Linked DNA regions of Struthio camelus. The protein of the gene in region 2 purifies or fractionates together with the protein of the main gene of each other region. This does not show direct contact. Links are inferred from orthologs where the notes say so. Each region holds a gene or a part of one and is shown on either strand. Other genes may lie near its edges. The genes, in order: EXOC3, EXOC6 and EXOC2.

Region 1 (7,557 bases), on a different chromosome or scaffold from region 2:
TCAAGACACAAACTAATATTAGACACAAAATGCTGAACAGGCAAAGTTGCTGGCAATAGAAACAGACCTGTCCTTTCATGCTTCACTAGCTACTCATGGAAGACAGGAACGATCCCAATCACTGAAAATGCAAGAACATGCTATGCATAGAACTCCACAAGATATGAACATATCTGGAGTTCCTGGTTCCTTCCAGATGGTAAGAAACATTTTATATCTTGATTCCTGGAATCAAATAGGATGCTTCCAGGTTCTGCTCTGTTACTATGACAATCATATTCCGTCAAATCCATATTCTTCCTTGACATTAAAAACTTTCAAGGCACAGTGCATTAGTATATTCAGTAGATCACTTAAACTCTACATCTGTAATATCCTGACTCCACATGGAAGGCAGGAAATACTATATCACATTCTCCAACATCAGCACAATCTAGATGAGACAACAGAGGTAATGAGTATGTGTGTGGAAAACATTTAAGAACCACTTTTTTCAGATGGTCTTAACTGAAATCCTTATCCTAATTTAATACCTTTCCTGGTTAATATTTGGTGATCATACACAGGCTATATTCAAGAATTTTAAAAAAGACAGATTATACATTAAATTAACACATTAACAAATGTTAAATTAACACATAACCTTTGTATAGCACTTTTAATCCACTAATCAAGTCATTTTTACCTTTATGTTTCATAAGTACAACTTTTCATGCCAGCACCCTTAAACAGAAAAGGTTTAATTTCCATCAGGAAATTCTGGAAGAATAAGCTGTGTTAAAGACAAAAATGAACTATCAGCTTTATTACACGAAAGACAGTATGAAGAAACCGATCAATTTTCTGTGAGGAAGACTCACTAATCTGATTCCCTCTTCGCTGTTTTCAGCAAATGTAAGTTATTGATTTGTAATGCCGCCTTAAGATCTTCTGCATCAGCAACAGCTTACCAACTTAATTTGAGATCTGATGAAGAACCATACAGGGTGCACAGAACTGTGGAATTAACGCAAGTCTTACCCTAATAATGCCATGCTAGCAGCTATATTCCTCCACTACTACTGCACAGCATGGGGCCTTCTAACCATTGTAGGCCTAGGCATTGATATTACATAACCTGACACATAAGGTCTAAATCATCAGTCTAGAAAAAGTAGAGAAACTTGCAGGCAACGGCAAACATTTTGAATAAGTACTGCTGTAAAATTTGTTAAGGTCTCAGGAAGGAGAAAGAAGGAAATTTTAAAACATCAGTTTGATCTACAGTTAATTACATTTTAAATGCAGAATAAAGACCACGTTACTGTAAAGATATTATGTGTCACAGAACTAAAATTGTTTTAGAGTCTCGATTACATTTCACATCAACCTGCATAGACTTCTGTTTGAATTAATGGTTAACTTCCTGGTTTTACAGCATTTATTCTTGGATAACGTAACATCTCAGTAATAAAAAGCTTTCACATTAATATGGAGCATAAGTAACCTCTATTTTTCCTGCATTATAATAGTTTTAGCTTTATTAGAATTAGCTATTTTAGAACTTTGCAGGGTTAAGAAAGATTTCAGGTACAGTTAACCCAAAAGCTAGTCTATTTCTTTCTCAAGTTTGACTTTTTTATGATCAGCCTTCAAAAATTACATGTCTAAAGAGTGTTTATAACAGAATTACTTTTGCAGTATAAACTCATACCCTACTTTACCCCCTCAGCTTCGCAAACATACCCATCACTTCTCTGCTAATAACCCATTTACCCTAAATTAAGTTTGATTTCCTACTCCACATTTCAGAATAGAGGATCTACTCCTACCACTCACACTTTGTAACAAATACCCTATTTCTGTTTAGCTCAATCCACTCCTAAGCTGTCACAAACATATCTACAATCAAAAAAACCTGTTATTTTTAAATATGGACTTACTACAGAAACAGCATCTATGGCAGATAGTTTTATGCTGAATTACTTCCTTTATTAACAAATCTGGATACACTCAATATAATTATACTCTAACTCACAGAGCCACTATCCTGGTCTATTAAGTATGTCCCACAAAGAAAGTTAGAAGCCAGTATGCCGTAACACCCTAAGCTTAGGTAATCACACCTAAGCTGGTATGATTGCATACCAGCTTGCTAAGGTACACAGGTTGTACAACTGCTACCTATTCATATAAGAGCAAACGTTAAGAAACAATGCCAACCTTTACAACCTTCTGGCTACGAGCCAGAACCACACACATCCTCAGAGCTATGTGCTGGAACGAGACACAAAGACAGACAGACAAACAGGAAGGAAGAAAGCAAGCAAGCAATCTTGGAAAAGCTTCAGTAGCAAGCATACCCTCATCCCCTCATCCTCTGCACCGAGGTTCCAACTGTGAAACCAAGAAGCCAGCGAGCAATACCACCAGTTCCCAGGGGAGCGCCTGCGCCCCGGCGCGAGCCTCCCCACCACGCAGCTTCCCCTCCTAACACGGCACACAGGAAACGGCGGCGACCCCCGGCCCAGCCCCGTTCCCTATCGGGGCCGCGCAACCCGAGTCATCGGCATCGACGAAGGTGCCCGCTGCTGCTAGGCAAAGGCCGGAGACCTGCCCCGAGCGCGCAGGCCAGGCTGCGGACCCGCCATGGTCGCGCCCCTTCTGCCTCGGCGGAGGCCCGCGGACAGGGCTCCTGCGCCACAGCGCGCAGGAGGAGCCCTCAGCCCCTCTTCGGCCCCATGATCCCGAGAGGCTTCCCGGATCGCTCAGCTCGGCCCGGCCCCCCTCCACTTCCCGTTCCAGACTCGAGCAAAAGCTCGGGTCACTACAAACAGCGATAGCCTAGCAGGAGCCGACACCGCAGCGCTCACCGGCTGGGGCTTTGGCGCAGGGCCAGGGGTGGGAGAGCAGGAGCCCCAAACACTACTTACGGGCTCCAGCCTACTCCCCAGCAGGGCAGTGACAGTCACGCAGCGCGCAAGCGCCACGGTCACCCAGGGGCACAAGACCCGGCGCGCAAGCGCAGAAGAAAGCTCATCGCTTACCCACGACTAGTGGCTAGTGCGCATGCGGGCTAGACTTACCATTTCACCTGTTAGGGCAGCGGTCTGCGCCTGCGCGGGCTCGGAAATGGGGCGGGAAGGGGATGTTCATGCTTCTAAAAAGTCTACTCTAGGAGGGAGGTACCGCCTCTGGCTCTGTAGTGACGGTGGAGTGGCTTGCCTTGTTCTCGCTAAGTAGCCTCAGTCTGGTGTGGAGGCGGTTGTGTAAACGCGTATGGGTAGACTATTAAGGGATGCAACCTAGCTGGCGGGAGCGAGGGGACGCCGGCTGCTCCCTTATGGGGAGGGGGGCTTCGGTAGCCTGCGGGGCTGCAGGCCGCACCTCCCCCTCTTCCTCAAGCTTTGATTGTTTTTGCAGTCTTTCAGTTTTGAGGTGGCTGTTAATATTTTGGGACCTTAAGTCAAGGTTTTCAGAGTCTGTGAAAAAAAGATGTAGAAGCTTTGTCAGGTATTTAACGTTTCAGTTAAAATGGTAATATGTTGCTACAAAAGCAATAGGTCTTAGGTATCAGCTACCTAAGAACCTGGGAACCACGTGATACCTTTCAGCTCTATCTACAAGTGACTTTGCCCAGCAGAAAAAAAGAGAAAGTCATCATTCGATTATTTTTCTTAGCTGTATCTCTTCATATTTTACACAGAGGCCAGGTGGTTGTTATTTTGCCAAGAAGGGTTGTGTTTAAGAAGCGTTACTTCATTGCTGGGATACAGCTAGCTATGCCCTCCTGTGGCTCTTTGTATAACTCTGCTGTGTACATGTTTCCTAGCAACAGTGCGTTTAAGAGGCTCATGGAAACTATATCCTTAAAGATTTATTTCCTGCTAAGAGAAAAGTACGTTGCTTGAAAAAACAGCCAAACAAAAAAAAAAATCCTTGGGAGCAGTTACAAAATCAGAGCTTCACTGGTGGTGAGAGACTGGGGCAAATGAGGTGCCTTCGGGGTGCGAGGTTGTTAGCTGGGTTTGTGTAAGGGTTGCCATAGCAGCTGAGCAGGCCACGTGCACCCAGCAAGGCATCCCATCTGGGGGTGAGCAAGTGCCTCACCTAGCACTCTGTGCCCAAAGCTTTGCTTTGGACCTGCAGCGCTCTTAACAAGAGGGACCTTAACCTCTCCCTCAAAGGGTGAGTTCCCACCTCCAGAAATTTGAGTGGTCAGAGAAAAATGATAGTTGTGGAATTAAAGGTTTGTTAATGGGCAAACTTGAATGGGTTTTTATTATTCTGTAGATTGCCAGCTAAAGCTGTTTGGAAAATGATACTGGTTTGCTAGATCTTCTCCTTTTAAATTACCAAAAGTAGATAGAGGAAATGTTTTTTTTTTCCTCACTAATATATCATATGGGATGCTATAATGGGCATAAAAATACTGAAGATGTGGTTGGTCCTTGCAGTGTTACATTGTCCAGTTGTTTGTTTTCTGTACTGTTAATTTAGGTTATTTTATGTGGTGCTGGAGATGGAGGAGCCAGTGGGAGGTGAAACTGAACTAGAGGGAAGAGTTAAGCCTAGTTCTTCTCCTTATCACTTTGCACAGCGGGAATCAGAAGAAGAACCGAAAGAAACACAGCTTTCTTCCAAACCTGACATTGGTCTCTGTCCACCTCTCATTGCTATAAAAAAAGGTAAGGGAGGAAATATTGGCAAACACTTCATGTACGCTTTATAGGGAAATAACTTTTTCAAGGATAAAATGAGAAACTGATTATTAAGTACAATGTTTGAATTTATAACAGATGCCCATAAATGCTAGGCATATATATTTTGCATAGAGCCATTTTTCTGGAACTAAATTGAATAGTACTCTAAGAAAAGAATAATGGGGATTTCCTTAGCAAATAACTAGCTTATTCCTGAGCTTGTTGCATTTGTCGTAAAAGCTAGAACAATGTTAATGGGTTAGCATTCAAATAAAACTGCTGATTGTGTGGCATTTGGTATGGCATCTCTCTTTTGGGATATATTAACAGTGACAGTAGTTTTCAATAGCATACTCGGAGGAGACTTCATTTCAAAACAGACACAATCTACAAGAAAATTTATAAGGATGTTATTAGAATATTAATTTTAGTCACAATCTTATTATTTATGTTTTAGAATAGATTAAGCAATAGTTCCAATTAGCTCCAATTAAGCAATTAGTGAGTCACTAATTATCACTATTGCATGCTCTGTTGAAGATATTACTCGCTTCAAGGGATAGGACCTAAATATCATCATCTGAGAAATAAATTGGTTGCTTTTCTTGGAAAAGACCAAGCTGTAGTAATTAAAAATAGTATTCTTGGTGCCTTTCAATTAAATATTTTTAAAGACAACAAATACAATATTTCTGTTAAGGACAGATAAATCAATATTTAGGAATGCTTTGGTAATTAAAAGTAAATTAAAGGAGAGAGCTGGACAAAAAATGAATAAGGTGGCAGGCTGCAGAAAAGTGCTTGTACTAAGTATCAGGACAACATTAATAGTTTTATATGTTACTAAAACCACTTTAAAATATACAAATCATAATTTCTAGAAAAAAATAAAGGCATACAATAAATTGTTGATTAAATAAATCAAAGGGCTTCAAAAGCTCTTAAGGAGATTTAAGTGATCAGCAATGGATAGTTACACACGCTAATGATAAGTGTACTGTTTTCATGGCAAATATTAGCAGTCCCTATAAATCCTGGTTATCAGTCTTCTGCATCTCTGGCAGACTTGCTACTTGCAGATGCTTTTTAACAACTTGAGCGCATGGAATATCTGAAGAATAAAGAAGCAACAGCTGAGGAATAACTGAGAGACAATAGCAAGAATGGAAAGTGGCAATATTTCAAAGAGCCTGTGATTTTTTTCCAGAACTGACTTCTGCAAGCTAGTCCTTTAAATTGCTTTTTCTTACCTCTGCTATTATCAGTGGGGATTCCTTGCAAATTAAACTTGAGATAAAAACCATCATGAGACATTTTTTCTTATAGAGGCTTCTAAGAGTTTCTGCTGAGGCATAGTTTTTCTAGCTGTCCTTTCATGTCTAACTTTTCCTAGCCTGAGAAAAAAGGTTAGCCAGCAGATGTTAAGACAGAATGTGGTAACTTTTCCAACATCATTGCAGGTCTTGTAAATGCATTTATTGCACATATACCTGAATAAGAATAATTATAACTGGTCACTTCTTTGTCCTAGACGCGGAAAGTAAGCACCATAGGCGTAGAGGTGTCTTGAAGACAAGGAGCACTGAGCTAGGATCTGCTGTCACAGGATCACCTCTGACTGGTGCTCTTCTGGCAAGTGTTTTCATTCCAAAATGGTGGTTACTCAACTGCTTCGGTCTGTTAAATTTTCTTCTTTACAGGTTATTCTTGAAGTCTTCTTTGGCTGGCAGAACTTGACCCAGGACTGAAGGGTGCTGAGTTCAATTAATATCTTGTTAATTTCAAGGAACAAGAGCAATGAACTACTCAAAAGTGCATACGATCTTAGGCCCTTTACTTCTTGTGCTTACAATGTTATTTTGAGGGTCATCTACTGGTTAATCCCCTTTCTTTGCCAAGGTGAAAATGAATATTGGTTAAGAATATTTGAATAAGGTTATGTCTGCATCATCACATGGGAATATCTCACCTCATTTTGAATTAGTTAGCTTAATTTGTGAAATTGGTTTTGCCCAATCAATCTAGAGCTCTGAACAGGCCACTTTCACTAACGTAATTCAGATGGTGAAAATACATTCTCTTTCTGAATCTATTCATGATCTATGCACAGATGTTAGTTTAGTTTATGCCGTATCGATCTCACAATTTTCCTGCAAAATACAATTTTTAAATTACATACATAATTCGCTAGTGAGGTGAGATGATATCTGACGTCTGATATGTATAGGCTGTGAAAACAGTAAAGTATATTTAAAAAAATAGAAGCTTTTCTGTAACACTATCAGAATATTACACTTTTTTTTTTAAATCTCAGACACTATTTAGGTTATCTTAAATTATGTTTGGTCATCTAATACTGTCACTGTGACAAAGTGTCAGTGATAGTGAGACAGTACAGAGGAAACAACAGGCATTTGACATCTAGTATCTTTACTAAGACAGAAGAAAAAAATTGCTATCAAAGATACAGTAAAAGCCATATTTTTATGCTTACAGCCATTAGGTCTCTAAAAGGCATTATAATATATTTTATGAATACCTGTTATCTATAATAATTATGTATTCATTAATATGGGAGTTTTTTGGCTTTTGTTGAATGACATCTGGATGGAAGGACAGTGAAACTAAACACTGCATCACGGAAGGCACATGCAAAACGAGTTTCTGTCAACTCTGGCTTGCATGCTAACTGGGACCTGTGTGAGAGGTTGAGACCTGCGTGAGAGAATAAAGAAGTATAAATCAAAAAAGATGTGGCTTTTAGAGATGTGAGAATGGTACTGATAAATAGCTACAGTTATTAAGGCATGCATGTGTATGATGAGATAGAATCACAGAATGGCCAAGGTTGGAAGGGACCTCTGGAGGTCATCTA
Region 2 (7,962 bases):
TTCCTGCCTCCGGGCTCTGCCCTGCTCTCCTCAGCTCAGGCCGGGGGGCACTAACGTCTTTCTCTCTGACAGGAAAGGTTAAGTAAAACCGTTTTGGTGTGTCAGCCAGTAGGGGAAAAAAAAAGAATTAGAGAGGAAAAAAAGGTATATGTACACACACACACACACACACATATATAATCACTGAAATTGTGGTGTTTTGAGAACGCTCCGACCAGCCGCCAGATGCCCAGGGCAGGGGACGCGGCCCGGCGCAGGAGGCCTCAGGCGAGCCTGCGCCCCTCCGCACCGCCCCGGCAGCCCAGAGCCGACCCTCCGCCCGCGCCGGCTCGCCCCGGGGCTCGGCTCCGGCCCGCTCCGCCGCCGCGGCAGCTCCTCCTCCGCGGGGGAGCCCCACGCCGAGCCCGACGGCCCGGCCCGGCCCCGCTCCGCCGAGGGGCCGCCGCAGCCGGGCGCGCTGACACCGTCCACCGCGGGGCGGCCCGGGCCCGGGCGCGGCGCCCCCGCAGGCGCGGGCGGCCCCGGCGGTGTCTCCGGGGAGGAGCTGTCAGCGCGGCTGCCGGGCCGCGGCGGCTCCGCGGGCCGGGCCGGGCCGGGCAAGGCAGGGCAAGGCAGGGCAGGGCGGGCCGCGGCATGGCGCGGCGGGGGGGAAGGGGGGGAGCCTGCGCGGCCGCGGCGCCCCGCGCCCTCACCTCAGGGTGGGTCCCACGCAGGCCGTGTCGGTGCTCTCGATCTCCTGCAGGATCCGATCATGCTCGGGCAGACTCTCCGCCATCTTGGATGGGAGGGACCCGGCGGCCGCGCCGCGGCGGGAGGCGCCGGGGCGGGACCGAGGGCGGAGGGAGGCGGCGGGGAGGGCCGGGCCGGCCGCGCCGAGGTGAGGTGAGGAGCAGGAGCGGGAGCGGGAGCGGGAGCGGGGCAGGCGGGGGAGAGGCAGGTGGATCGGGGCCGCGCCCGCCCCGGCCGGAGCCCGGCGATGGCCTTCAGCCCGCGGCGGCCTCTCCGCCGGCCCGGGCAGCGGGGACCGGCTGTCCCGGGCTGCCGCCGCGGCAGGGGGAGCCGCAGCACCCCGGGCGCTGCCCTGCACGGGCGGCTGCGCCGTCCTCGCGGTGCTGTTTTAGAGCAGCCCGTCAAGGCCGAGGGGGCTAGAAGGGGCTTTTTTTTTTTCTTTTTTCGGTGGGCTACTTGTGGGTCGTTCCTTGGGCTCGCCCGGAGCGAGGCGGCAGGTGCAGCGCCGCCAGCCCCGAGTGCTAGTACCAGGCCTAGTGCTAGGCCTTCCCCCCCCCCCCATTGTTATGATTATTCAGTTTAGACCAGCTACCTCTTCTCTGTCTTCGGCAGACAGGACTGGGGGGGCTGGGGCGCAGGTAAGCCGTGCTGCGGGAGCGCACCGTTTTGCGTAAGCATCGCCCTGCGTTGCTTCCCCAGCTTATCCGGTTCACTAGAAACTTGCATATTGTTTCCTGCATTGCTGTAGCTTGTCTTCGGCTGTCCTTGCGCGCGTGCACAATGGGGTTCCATTTTTCAATGAAGAAGGAATAACTCGTTTTCTATTTAAATTATACACTTTGTGGTTTGTGGCTTAAGATGAGCTAGTCCTTGGGTTTTGCATGTTCAGGAGACAGGATACACCTGCTTTCAGGGCAAAGTTAGCTGTGCACAACTGGGAAGCCAGCGTAAAGAGATAGGCCTTTAGCATGAAACTTCAGAGTGGTGTCTGGCTACTTTTCCCAAGAAAAACTGACAGAAGTTTACAGCTATATATGCACGTAGGTCTAGACAGCAGCGAGCTACAATAACGTTTAGCATCCTTCCAGTTATTGCAACCAAACTTACCGTATCTCCTGCCCTGGTGCAGCTACGCTTGGACGCTAAGTTAATAAATGGCGCTTAAGACTAGGTACATCTTGTCTGTGCTTGTAGTTTTATCATATTTGCTGTTGATTCAGCTGAATTTATTGATGGCACCTACTGAAACAGCAGGGAGTATTCCAAATGTAGACAAGTGCCTACAAAGTGTGTACTGCAGAAAGAAAATAGGAAAAATCCTACAGGCTCTCTCTGCAGTAGTGTTTCCTTCAAGAAATCACTCAACTGCAGTAACAATTTTCCCACGTCCTTTTTTTTCTTCTTTTTTTTTTTTTTTTTTTTTGCGTCACCAAATTACTTTAGTAGACTGACGCATACATTTTTCAGGGTAAATTAAATTTACTTTCTTTAGCCTGGTAGTCACTGCAACCCGATTCCTACAATCCCAGGCAGGCTATTTTTAAATCTTTTCTACAGATACTAACAATATACTTAGGCTCATAACATCATAATCTTTTATATGTTACTTCTGTAGGGATGAATATCCAAAGGATTTTTTTCAGTTGCGCTTCTACCATTAAACTATTTCCATAAGCTGTAAATTAAATCATATTAAAATCTTCAGATATTTAGGGATATCCCTAAGTTAAACTTTACTCCGAGTAGCTGTGCCTTTAGAGAGAAGGTTGCATTCAGTAAAAATACAAAAATTAGAAGCAATTAATTATTCTTAAAAAATGTAGTTGTCAACCTCAAACTAAAAGCACTCTGTTACACAAAAGTGATTTTTCCCTTGTTTTCATGTTTAAATGTAATTTCTTTCTTCAGAGAGAACGTGCAGCCCGCCTTCACTAACAGCTTTGTCCTGATAAAAAGAAAGAGTTGAGTTGAGTCTTCAGTTTATACTTTTTGATTTAGGGCCAATCGCATTGGAATCAAATACAACTTTCCTGTAGATGTCAGTGTCAAGATAATCAACTTTCTAATACATTGGGCTGACTGCAAGAACAGCTATAGAATGGAGCAAATCCATCATGAACGATATAATATGATCTAAACGATGCATACCTTAGCGTGGTTCCCAGAGGCAGCTCAAAGGACTGGATCTCAGCAAGGGCATTTTCGTATATCTGATCTTTGTTGTCTTCTAGATACAACTCTGACATATTTGACTTGCTTTTCCTCGCCATAGATGAGCATAAAAACTAGTCTAACTTTAGGAGAGGACTTTTATTCTGATTATTATCGTTGACTGAGTGACTGCAGTCAGCAAAACCAGGCATGAAAAAACAGATCCTGCGCTAACCTCGTGACTCTTGAGGACTTTGTGTCCAAGAATGGTGCACAGCTGCTGTTTTCCTGTCTCCGCTAGTAACATTTGCCTCGTACGCAGTACCCAGGCCTGTACGGTCTTTGTGTGTGTGTGTGTATTCCGTTTATCTGAATATGAAACTTACTGGCAAAAATAGTATTTCTACATCCTCACAGTAGTTCACAAGTAATAAGCACAAAGCCTGAAATATAGTCAATTTGAAAACACAATTTTAAAGTCATTTCAGACACTGGCCCACAATGCTCACTCTGTCTGTCAAGTTTTGTGAGGTTAAAATCATGTTTTTATAGAAGATTGAATTTTTCCTTTTGCTGTGTAAAAAGCCTGTACAAACAAGTAATTGGCGGCTTTTATGAAGCAGGTTTATGGACTTTATAAAGTAAGCTGAAAAAAAGCACGGCAACTTTTATGTTCTCACCTTTTTCATTTTTAGCATTAGTAGATGCTATTTATAGTAACAGCTTGTAAAGAATGCTCTAGGATAACTGATTTTTACATGGCTGTGTTCCCCTATGCAGTAAACAGTTACTCATTTATTACGTGCGTTGCATTCCTGCAGGGAAAAGAATGAGGATGGACTCCTACAACGTTCAGAGCAATGCTGATATCAGATAATTATGATAATGGCAAAAATTTCAAGTAGTTATTTGGAACAAAGGCTGGAGTTTTAGATCCTTCAATTTAGAAAACTTATTGGAAGTCTAATATCAGCCTTCTTTATTATATGGCACAGTCAGTCTTACGATACGTGTCTATTTTTGATTTTTCAAAGATTTTAATGAAAATGTAGCTCTTATCTCAGCACCGCTCCCGATGAAATTAATATGAGTTTTGACACTCATGGTGCAGTCAACAGTTAAATGCAGGAAAACAGAAATTACTGGTTCCGGACTTGGGCAATATATTGTTTATTCACTTCTCTGTGCCCAGCAGGAATACTGAGACAAGTTTACCTCAGAAAGTGCTCTAAAGGGTGCAATGTGTTACATGCATCCAAATTTGTAAAGTCTTCCCTTGAATAAGCGTCTTTAATCATCTGTTTATTTTGAAGCCAAAATTAAGCAATTGTTCTGTTAGCATGAATATTCAGCGGATTTACTGCTTTTGTGTTCTAAACAGCGCTGTGAGCTATTTTTACACCTTTAGCAAGAAATGCATGCCTGTGATTGACCCATCCAGCCACTGGATGTCACACAAATGCAGATGAAAGGATATCTTAACTACCCGTTCTCATCTTGACAGATGCTAGGTTAAGTATTAATTACTAATTATGTGAGGCTCCTGTAAAAGTAAATTTAATAACTGCAAAAAATATTGCACTGATTGGCATTGGTTTCTAATTTATGAACTCGTTTGTCCTAGCTCTGTCAGTCATACTACACTTCTGATTTAAAGTTAAAAAGTTCTGAACGATCATCCCACTACAACTTCCTCTGGATTCACCCCTTTCTTACCAAACTTGTCGCTGCATATACATGCTAGATGGATAGTTTTAGAAGGCTCCTTGCAATCATCTTGTCTTCACAGCTTTACAGCAGCTTCACTGCGGGTTATTGCTCACCTGAGGTAAAGCTGCTAATTACTGATGAATGAATTTCCTGTATTTGATACAATCAACATACATTAAACACAAAAAATAACAGCTTGCTGCAGCAGCGTCTTACCACAGTCTGGGCCGTAGATTTACTCTAAAGCGCTACACAGAAGCTATTGGCCCTCTTCTGAAAAGCACAGTGTGGGGCCGCAACACTCACCTTTTGGCACCTAATTTATTTATTTGATCAGGCGCTCTCCGTTCTGCCCATAGTCAAAGGGGAAAGACAGGGTCCTCCACAGAGCGATGTAGATCACCTACCTTAACCTCTGCTCTACACCTTGCTCCACCAGAGCCTGCTCGTCTCCGAGATGTCTGTTTTGATCCCATTGCCTTCAACACAAGCTGCAAGTGGCCAAGATTGGATTGTTTCCCCCAAGGGGCACTAGAATTGATCAACTTTGCTGATACATACACGTCGTTATTTTGCAAAGCTTGGTTAACTAAATAACGACGTGTACGTATCAGCAAAGTTGATCAATTCTAGTGCCCCTTGGGGGCATCTTACTCTTATATTGGATGTCCTGGAAAGAAGCACAGTCCTTGGATGCTAAGAATGTTTGGCATTTATCTGCGCATACCAAAAGTTATTTTTAGGCAAGATTTTGAATAATTTCTATTAATTTCAAAAACAGACTTGTAAGCATTTTATTCTTCCAAATAACATGGCTATCAATAAGATATGTCTACCCACTTTTATTTGGATGAACACTTGTTTATTTTCTTTTGCAGTGGCTCATGATAACATGGCCCATGATAGAAGAAAGTGCATCTGCTGTCGCTGTGGCTGAGCACAGGCGAGCTAGATAAATCGGAGATGCCTTGGGCATCACACACAGTGACTTGCAAGAAAAAACGTGATGCAGCGATGGGAGCATGAAGCCATATAAAGAGTGCTCTTGTGATTGTTTTTTGGGGGGATTTTAAGTGAGTTTGATACTTACAGAGGCTTTGGATGTAGTTTCTTCTATCCCAAAATCTTACACACAAGCTTACTTTAGAAATAAATAAACTAAAAAAAACCAGTGCTTTAATTTGTTGTACAGATGTTGTTGCAGGTATCCCAGCTGCCTGCAAATAAGTAAGCTTAGTAACAAAACAAAACAATGTAAAAAGGGGCGAACAAATACAAAAATGAATCACCAAGAAATATGCAAATCTGATTGGTTGTGGAACTGGATATCAGAGGTACATGGCTTCCCTTTCCCTTTGGGTGCACAGAGTTAGAGTGAACTGCACCTGAACTGGCCGTCTGGCGCGCCAGAGTGGTTTGCACCCGCCTTGAAATTGTTCGGAGGCTCCAGTTGCTGTAGGATCACGAGGTGGTGGATCTGTATCTGCTCAAGGATCCACGGGCTAGGGTCCATTATGGCCGATAACGCGCAAAGCTCTTTTTGCTGCAGGAGATTTTGCTTCTTCCCTGTGCTGTCTTGTCCAGCCTGTTCTGCTTCTCCATCTCCATCTTCTGCTGCTCCCCTCCTGTGCTTATTATACATGCCCAAAGTCTGTGTCTTTCAGTCATACATAAGCTTTACCTTTTTCCAGGTGAGTTCAGGGTCACTCTCAAGAGCCTTTAGGAAACTGCCTTGTCCAAGGAAGAAAACTTTTCTGAGAAATAAAAGAAGAAAAATGCTGTATTATGACACGGCACAATCTTTTAGTAGGGTGGTGTATCTGAACTGCACATCTATGCATAACCTGTTCAGTTATTTTGCCTGTACATTGTCAGCAAAGAATTACTACGATAAGTACTTAATAGTTGATTAATTTCTCTCTTTTTATTTTATTTTTGAAAAATGTACAAGATCCACTAAGCTGAAAGGGAGAGTAGGAATAATCATTTCTGAGGCTTGATATTGTACTGGTTGAAACCCAACTTAATCAAGAAGCCTGAGAAGGTATTAATCTGCTACAAGTCCTTGACTGGAAAAGGGCAGAATTTTTCTAGGCTTGTTAAATTCCAGCGATTCCTGTGAAGGAGATATTTCATTGCCTACAGCCTGCACAGCCAGAAACCCTCAGGGCCTGTGAGCTGTACAAATCGCAGCTGAAATCTCTCCAATCATCCTGAGATTTTCCTGGGCAAAAATATGCCCAGGCCAGTCAGGAGCTAAGGAAAATTGAGGCAAATAAAAACAAGATTGTGATGCAGGATGCAGAGGCTTATCCAGAGCAAAACCGCTTTCTCCACATCCTTTCTCTCTTTCCTTCCCCTCCAAGATCTGCTCTTCCTCCACCCCAAACTGTCTCGTGACTGGGGATACAGAAGGCCAAAAACTCCTGTTCCAATATTTCCACTAACATAGCCTCTGAGGTTTAAATCTAGCATGTCTGGGGTAATGCTTTAAAAATACGGTTTACTGATGTGACAATTACAAAAAGAGTAGTATGTACCATAATATAGAGTCATGCCTGCTGGGTGTATAATTCCAGCGTAGATTACTTTTGGTTTGTTTTTTTTTAATAAGCAATGCAAACTTAGGAGCAGCAAGTCATTAGAGGCTCCTTTAATTATATTTTCCTGGTTGGAATCCATTCTAAATCATTCACAGAAAATGGGAGAGGTGAAAATGTCCACCCTCGCATAGACCTACTGTATGTACTTTTCACATGCGATACCCTGCATAACAAATAACTTCATTGGTCACAGCCTAGATTTCTCCTTCTCTTTATATGCTCTTTATATTTAATGGCACCAGTCATTTCTGCATCTCCTCTGGTGCTACCTCCTTCCACGGGCTCATCCCCAAACCGGACCCTGTTCAACACCACCTCCCTGAGCCACTTGGAGATATCTAAGGCTACTTCGCTTGCCTGGACAGAAAGGCGGTATTCAACAACCCACCCCAAAAGCTGCCGCTGGAGGACCTGGGTGAGGAAATGGGGGGACCAGGGGTGCCTGCCGGCAGGCGTTTGGATGAAGGTGACCCCCAAGCAGCGCAGCACTTGCCGGCTGCAGGGAGGCCGGCGCAGAGACCCAGGAGGGCGGCAGCTCATCGCACTGCTGCAGCAGCGGCGCCAAGGGCACGACAACAAGCAGCGCTAGGAGAAAAACCTTGTTGCTGGCCCCACAGTCGGGTCGTACGTACCTAACCACGCCGAGCTTTTCCTAGACACATTAACTATTTTCTACAGTACCGAGTGTTGCAGTCAGCAACTTCTGGGCTAAAACAGTTTGTGCAAGGCAGTGCCCCCCGCGCCTCTCGTCTCCCCCACGGGACAGCGA
Region 3 (8,088 bases), on a different chromosome or scaffold from region 2:
CAAAATTGACGTTTATTTCCAAGTGTAGTGCTTAAGACGTACTGAATTTACAGCTAAATGAATAAATACATTGAAATAAATTAAAGTAAGGTTTAACACAACATACCTTAAAATTTTCACCACTAAGAGGCCGTGGACTCTGTGTTTCTAGTCTACCCACTTAATTGCTTTAGTTCAACTTCATTGGGAGGAGCAGCATAAGAACAAACTGCATTAATTATCAGTGGATACAGATCCTTTCTAATGGGACCTTGGGCAAACTATCAGTAGATTACATGTTATATCTTTATTGTCTGTTTTTGCCTCAAGAACTCTCAACAGCTACCAAAAAAAAAAAATGCTTCAGAATTGCAAGAAATCCTGCTACTCAAAATACTAAGATCTGAATGCTACAGATTCAAAATTATTCTGTGAACATTAGTTACCTCTTTTACTGAAAATGAACCAGTTTCCCCACGCGCACACAAAAACACTGCTCAAAGGACAAGGTGTTGAATTAGTTATTAAAGTTATTTCTTGCTGTTTAAGTTAATGACTTAGACTTAAAAGGAGTTTTTGATTGATTTTGAAAAATGTCCATTGCTTAGGCTATTTACTACGAATTTCTGATAAAGCAAATATAAAAGAATTAAGTGTCTGAACTAAGTCTCTGAAAAAGTGTGATTTACTGAACCAAGACCATGAAAACCCAAGACAACTCTACCTTACTGTATCAAAAAAAAAAAAAACACACACGTTTGATTGGTAACATGCTTTAATTAAATAGCTTCACCTCTGACACATACTAAAAAGACTAAATTTCCCATACAGAGGAAAAAAAACTTGGCATTACAATGTAAATTAGTGGCATTTTTACTGACATAAGTCACACTAGCATAAAGAAAGTAATCGCATCCTGTTTCATATGAATATTAAGACAACAAAAATCCCATATGAGTAAAAGCATCATTTTCCGAGGGCGGGCATAAACCACAAAAACTGTAAACTAAGCTATCCATGGGAAAGAACGCAGCAGCAGGGCACGCCTTTTGCTGCTTCTTGCTGGGTCAGTGCAAGTTGTGACAGATAGCAAGAATCAAACAGCTATTTTCTTCTTCACCTGAAGAAGAAAATAGACCTTTTTCCTAAGTCACAAAGTTGTTCATCTGCACTTTAGAGAAAAAAAAAAAAAAAAGAAGCCCTTTAACTATTCTGATGACTTTATCAAAAGCAAATTCAAACCAAAAGGTTTATAGTACTGAAACACACACAAATCATTACAGGAAGAAAAAAGTTTACTTATTTTAAGAATGATCAGAAAGTCAGGGAAGTTATAATAAGACTACTATTTTAAACTAAAATTTAAAGTGTGGATATTCATACTTTAGATTTAATATGATGGTCTGTCAGAGCTAAGATTGCTTAATACTTTATTGGCTTTCACTTCAAAGCTTTCTAGTATATAGTTAAAAACTGTTAATCTAACAAAGAGCAAGCAGTGAACCTGGAGAGAATGACAAGCTCTCCTTTGGAAACAGGGTCATTCCCGTGCTCAGACATCCATTCCCCCTGAAAAAATATCCTATTCAGCTTCCCAGTTAAAATATTGGAGAAGCAGGGAGGGAAGACGTTTGGTCACCAGCTCATAGACCCTTCTGGACTGCAATGCTGTCCAAGTGAGGGAGAAATTTACATCTGGGCAGAAAGGACAAAAAAAGAAAAAAAAAGGTCACAAAAAAATGTATCATGTGGAGGCAATGTATCACTACCAGTTAGTTATCAATGATAGTAATCATCTCTTAATCATTATATGCTATTTTGGTTTGTTCCAAACAAACTACATTATACTGTCTTCTTATTATATTTGCCTAATTGTGCATTTATTTCGGTAAGCAGTTTCTGAAAACTTGCCGTACCACTGAATGTGGATTTAAGAAATCAGACCCTCGAGTAACCAGCTCTTCAGGAGTCAGACCGTGCCCTCCCCTGCTTATTTCCTCTACTGCCCGTGCCCAACACGGTCACAATAATAATTTAAGGTCGTTCTAGACAAGTCTCAGTTCAGGGTATAACCAAGGCGGAACAGAAGCAACTTTACAGTGTTCCCGAGAGACCATTGTGAGGAATGAAACGGGTAAAACCCTCTACATGACACTCTGTCCGCAGGCTTTCAGGGCCTGTCCCACAAGCCCCCGAAAAGAGCTCCCTCACAAGCTCCCTCTCGGTATAGAGCCGAGACAGAGCACTACCTGGCTCGAGTGTAACCTCTCCCGGGCACCGTCCCCCACACAAACACCCAGCTGGGAGCAAGACACCGCGGGCGCACCCTCCCCTCCCGGAGGGGCCGCAAACGAGCCCGCATCTCCTTGCCCTGTCAGCGGTGCCCTGCCTCCCGTCAGCTGGCTGGGGGCAGGGCAGGGCAGGCGGGCTGCTGAAGCCGGGCAGTCACAGTTTCCCTCCCCCGCCAGGCGGCCCGGCCGTCCCCCTTCCCCCCGCCCAGGGCCGAGTCTCAGGCAGACAAGCCGGGGCGGACAGGTAGCGGCGGACCCCTGGGGCGGGGCGGAGCCAGCAGGTGCCTCGAGGGAGGCCTCAAAGCGCGAGACGGCAGAGAACAAACGACTCCTTCCACCTCCCCCCGCCCCGGCCCCAACGGCCGTTAACGGCACCTCCGTCCCCGCTCCCGAGGCAGGGGCGGGGCTTGGAACGCGGCACTCAACCCCGCCCGGCGGGCGCCAGCCCGACCCCCCCCCCTTTCCCCCGGGAGGGGAGGAAGGAGACGGGGCTGCCGACGGCAGGGCAACGGTCTCCGCCCCAGCGGGGGGAAGAAGCCGGAGCTGCCCCGCTGAGAGCCGGCTCCGCAGAGCCCAGCGGAAGCACAGGGGGGCGGGAGGCCACAGATTGTCACTCACCGGCCGCCGCCGCCGCTGCCGCCGAGTTTGTATCCGGCACCTGGGGCAGCTCCGCTCCCAGCAGCGCCTCCGCGTCCGGCAGACACAGGCACCTGCAGCCGCTGCCCGATAAAATCGATGGAACCCGGAGCAATCGAGGAGAAGCGGCCGCTCCCAACGGCCGTCGTGCTCCCAAGCCCCGCCCCCTTAAAGGCGCAGACCGTGGCGTCTGGCGGAGTCGGGCTGGTGGAGGGAGCCTTGGCTGCGGCCCCCCCCACATCCACCCACGCACCCCACACCGGCCCCCCGCACACCCCAAGCCCCCCACATCCACCCACGCACCCCACGCCGGCCCCCTACGCACCGCTTCACACCCCACACCTGCCCCCCCCACACCACTTCACACCCCACAGTTTCACAGCCCACACCTGCCGTCCTGCACACCCCAAACCCACCCCCCGCCGTGCTCCGCTTCACACCCCACACCTCCCTTCCCCTCACCCCCCCGCACACACTGGAAACAAGCAGCCAGCAAATAAAGGTGCCGTCGAGCACCAAGAGTTGGTCCTCTTGTGGAAAAGGAGGTGAAACAGAGTAATGAAAAAGCACAAAACGTAATAGAAGTAACAATAATAAAGATTTGGTTTTCCCCGAGCGCTGTATCGAGGTTGCAGCAAGCAGAAATTCTTCCAGAAGTGTGTGGAATTTGGGGACCTCCGTGTTTTTGGCATGAGATTCCGGGCCTGGGACTTTGGGGGCTGTTTGACTGTGTGCGGGAGGAAGGTGGGGAAGAAGAAACATGCGTGGGGGTGGAGAGCAGGGCAGTTGGTTGGTGGGGCGGTTGGTTTTCTTGCTTCTCTTGGTCGCCTCATGCCTGAGTTTTGTCTGTAAACTGCAGGTGTGGTCACGGCACGGAAAGGGATGGCCATGGTGCCTCCAGGGCTGGGGACCACTTGTGCCTGTGTCCAGATAAAAACGTCGGTATCAATTGCCTTTGGAGGCAAGTCCAGAGTCGAGGTGTAGCCGCGGGGTGACTTTTTGGTTTGCAAATATTCTTCTTCAGAAAATCACTTTAAAATTTATTAATAAAACAAAAAAAACCCCAAAGGATCTATCCCAGCCAGACCTAAAGTGGGCATTTCTGGCCTAACCTTGCTGTGTCTGACCCTTCTCCCATTACTCCCCAGATGAGTAGAGTCAGGCATACAGCTCTGTCAGACTTTGCGTATAGTTAAGTGCATAGCAGATCTAGCCCTGAGCTTATTTACAGCAACACTGCACTGCCTGCATGGTTCTTCTGAGTATAGTTTAAGTTGCTCAGTCTCTAAAATGCTGAATGGCCTGAGCTGGACAACAAGCTGGAATTTCCCTCCCCTTTAAATTTTATTTTGAGGTCAGGAGCGATAACAAGATTTTTCATCCGATCTGTCAGAAATATATATATATCCTCAGAACTGAAGGGGGGAAACCTGTAAAATTCTGCTTTAGGAGACTTATGGAAGCTTTTTTTCAGGTTATTCCTCTAATGGGCTGACCCCACCCCAGGCAGCGACTTTCTGGAACTACCGCAGTCTCCGCAGAGCTGGTCAGAAACAGGATACAGCTGCCGTGGATGCTGGGGAAGCCTGGGCTGTCTGGCAGCCAAGTGAGCAGGCAGGCAATGCTATCTGTTAGAGCTAAGTAATGCAAAAGAATCTTCATTTTGCAATGAAAAAAATTAGAATATTTTTAACTAAACCTGCTGTCTCCCCAAGACACCTCTGAACAGAGGCTCTTTTCCTTTTTGGGAAGGGACAGGAGGATTGTCCTTTTTCCATTTTTGCTAGGATTGTTTGGAATTCATCTGTAAAAACCCAGTTCAGATGGAGTCTAAGTGGAAAGGAGAGGGAAAACAGAAAGCAAACACAGAAGGAATAATCAGTTGCTCAGTTTCACTGACCTTGACCTAACATATACTTTGTGGGAAAATAAATTAACTTTCATAAAACCTCAAAGAACTTTCAAGAAGCATTATGGCCAAGAAAAGTTATTTCTCTGACTTTTTTTTCCAGAGGTGAGAGTTGCCCAAGCTACGTTACTAGGCTGTAATATCTCAGCACATGAACAAACAGTGCTTTTCTGACTCTTTCTTCTTGCTCGTTTAAGTCAGCACATAGCATCCATCTGGGGAACAATGAGAGTGTTTGGTACCTGTCCCTAATAATTTCCAAAGTTATTATTTGTGACTCAGCAGTTTTTTTGCAAATATGAGGTTAAGAAAAGTTGGCACAAAAAGTAAAGTTGGCATGACATTAAAAAAAAAAATCTATTTGCCACCCGTTTCAAAATGATGCTTTTCTTTCATGACATTCTGTTAGCATCATCTCATTAGAAGCTTGTCAGCAGATGTGCCAAATAAAACCACTAAATTGAAAGGTTTGGTTGATACAGAAGGCACCGTCTCATACTGTACACACTTGGGTCCTAGCCCTGCCAAATGCTTTCTGTGAGTGGATACCTGTGCCCAAAAAAGCCTGTTGACTTTAGTGGGGGTCCATAAAGGAGCTATCTGCGGAGAAGATTTTGCAATAAACAGCCCAGAATTTAGTAGCTCTCTTCCCTTCATTTTTAGAGGTTTAAACAAGCTTTTTCTCAGCTGCTGCTTGGCCATATTTTTGTTCAGATCTTTGTCCTGGTGAACCTGTCAGAACAGCACAACCCGAGTAAACTCAGCAACAACAGAAACCTTACCTATAGTATATGTAGGTTCATCTCAGGCATACACATACGCAAATTCTCCTACTGCCAACAGTGGCATCTAGGACTTTTATGATCTCCAGGGGGCCTGGATAAGGCAGCCGATGAGGAGCGCTCCTGTGTGCAGCGCTTCACTGAATCTACAGTGGGTATTTTTTTCCAGCTGATGTACAATGACCATGTGGTTACCATCACCTCCCCATTCAGTGTCTCCAAAACAAAGGTGACAGTAACTGACTATGGATTGGACCCAGTGGAGAAAATAAACCCTGCCTCACATATCTTCAGGACAAATGGAGGAAAATTAGTGCTCTTATTATATCCATTCATCCATCCATCCATATATGTATATATCTCATAAATATGAGAGATCATAATATGTAGTATATATATATGCTGTCGTGTATAATGCTGTTAATATAAATATATTACTCCATGGAACTCCAGGCACCATTAAAGAGATTAATCTATGCTATTAAAATTGAGGAAAGAAATGACAAGTTGTAACATAATGTCCTGGTAAATAGTAAGTGTATTATACCTCAAAGAGGTCAGAAAAGTAATTGCTCATCCATGCCTTTTGCTAATCCATTTATGCAGATTTGACAGTGATCTGCAAACAATACATCTCTTTACAAAGTTGGATAAACAGATTTGAAAGCCAAGAGGCATTATTGTGATCATCTTGTCTAACCTGAATATTAAAAGCTGTAGACATTCCTGCAGCCATTCCCAAACCAAGCTCTTCGTGTGGTTGTTTCTTAGACATCTACGTTTGATTTTAAAGAGTGGGAGAAATGGGAAATGCATCGCTGTATTTCCTGAGATTTAACAGTGATTAGTCACCCTAACATGAAAAAAATAATGGACACAAATATAAATTTTATTTGAAAGCTAAATTTGTCTAGCTTCAGCATCTGATTGTTGCATTTTTCTGCTCCTAGATTGCTTTTTGTTATCGGAAATGTCTTCCTTTTGAAGATACTTGTAAAATATAGTGGATTCACTCCTTCATCTTCTCTTGATAAACTATATGGATTCAATTTTGATTCCTTACTGTGTAACAGCCATTCCAGAGAAATGTTGTTTTCCTTCCCGTAGGCTTTCAAACTTACAGCTGTCACCCTTCTTTTCTTGACGTGGGAACATCAAAAACAGAACTCTCCATGCTTGTATTTGCTTTTGTGAGTTTAATATTATTAGTGAATTAGTGAAATCTAAGGAACAGAAAAAAGCTAAGGCTCATAAGGCTGAAAATGATATCGAGAAATCATCTTTTCTCGTCCTTTTCCTTACCGCAAGATAGGATCAACTATTCCTTTGTTATAGCATAAATGTTTTTTCAGTCTTGTTCTTAGAGACTTCTCAGTATGGTGCTTTTATCATCTCCTCAGGCAATATATTCCATTGCTTTACTACCCTTATCATTACGGGCATTTTTCCTAATGTGTAACCTGAATATTCCTTATTGCAATTTCAGTCTGTTGCTGATAGTTCTGTCTTCACTGGACTCAGACTGACTGTTTGCTTCCTCCCTGAACCAGCCTCTTACGTGTTTAAAGACTCTGTCCCCTCTACATTCTTTTCCTCTTTAGGCCAAACAGTCCCATTAGTCTCCTCATGTTTTATATTTTCTAGATTGGTAATCGAGCTTGATCTCTTCTGGACTCTTCTCCAATCATTCAATGTCATTCTGTAAATGCAATGCCCAAAGCCAAGTGTGCTCCAGGTGAAAAACATTTAAAAGAGAATTAGTTCCAGCTGAAGTCTCACCATTGGTGAGCAGAGCAAAACAATTGCTTTGCACATTTGGCAGGCTATCTTCCTGTTCCTACATGCTTTTACGGCATTTGCCTTTTGACAACAGCATAACAATGTTGACTCGTGTTTGGCCTGTGATTCACTCTACATCTTTTTCTATGCAACTGTAACCATGTTTACTTTTTCCCTTCCTGTTTCTGGGGAATGGATGATTCTGTGTGCAATATACTACGCTTGCACCTATCGAGTACTGTCTTCTTTGGCTTTATTTAAACAAATTCTCTAGTTTGTCAAAATCACTCTTAATTCTAATTCTCTTCTCTAATACACTATTAGCTGCTCTCTTCTTCATGTCCTCTGCAACTGTAACAAGCTTAATTTCTTCTATTATTCAGATGTTTAATAAGCAGCATCAGATTCAGGATAGACCCTGCAGGAAAATCTTTCACTATCTCTTTCCATTTTGATAGTGTACCGTTTTGCTAACTCTTCCCCAACTATTCTTTTTCCAATCCTGTCGGATTTTCAACCCAGAACATACATGTCTTTTCTTACATTTGGGAAACATTCACAAATGCCTTACTAGAATGAAGATACCTGACATTTTCCTACTTCTTCCCTGTGTACAACACCTATTACCTTATTGTAAAAGGAAATCCGATTGGTTTGACAGAAGTTGTTTGTGACAAATCCATGTCACGTTTTCTTCTAACACTAACAGATT

Evidence for each region.
Region 1: the proteins of EXOC6 (region 2) and EXOC3 purify together in Homo sapiens (affinity purification with mass spectrometry; 6 studies listed by BioGRID and IntAct, counting the BioPlex papers as one, with this or other methods). This does not show direct contact. The link is inferred for Struthio camelus from reciprocal best matches to the Homo sapiens genes EXOC6 and EXOC3.
Region 3: the proteins of EXOC6 (region 2) and EXOC2 purify together in Homo sapiens (affinity purification with mass spectrometry; 5 studies listed by BioGRID and IntAct, counting the BioPlex papers as one, with this or other methods). This does not show direct contact. The link is inferred for Struthio camelus from reciprocal best matches to the Homo sapiens genes EXOC6 and EXOC2.

Annotation. Positions count from the first base shown.
Region 1 is NC_090943.1:75,388,589-75,396,145, reverse strand, and holds the start of EXOC3 (exocyst complex component 3), read right to left. Parts: upstream 3,038-7,557; 5' UTR 2,913-3,037; exon of another isoform or gene 2,853-2,912; intron 2,741-2,852; exon of another isoform or gene 2,343-2,740; intron 773-2,342; exon of another isoform or gene 686-772; intron 1-685. Other genes in the region: dynein axonemal heavy chain 5, read left to right, coding at 3,278-3,492, 4,480-4,667, 6,214-6,314. UniProt on the Homo sapiens protein: Component of the exocyst complex involved in the docking of exocytic vesicles with fusion sites on the plasma membrane.
Region 2 is NC_090948.1:19,087,945-19,095,906, reverse strand, and holds the start of EXOC6 (exocyst complex component 6), read right to left. Parts: upstream 3,009-7,962; 5' UTR 3,000-3,008; coding exon 2,878-2,999; intron 850-2,877; exon of another isoform or gene 776-849; coding exon of another isoform or gene 693-775; intron 1-692. UniProt on the Homo sapiens protein: Component of the exocyst complex involved in the docking of exocytic vesicles with fusion sites on the plasma membrane.
Region 3 is NC_090943.1:104,986,004-104,994,091, forward strand, and holds the start of EXOC2 (exocyst complex component 2), read right to left. Parts: upstream 3,024-8,088; 5' UTR 2,889-3,023; intron 1-2,888. UniProt on the Homo sapiens protein: Component of the exocyst complex involved in the docking of exocytic vesicles with fusion sites on the plasma membrane.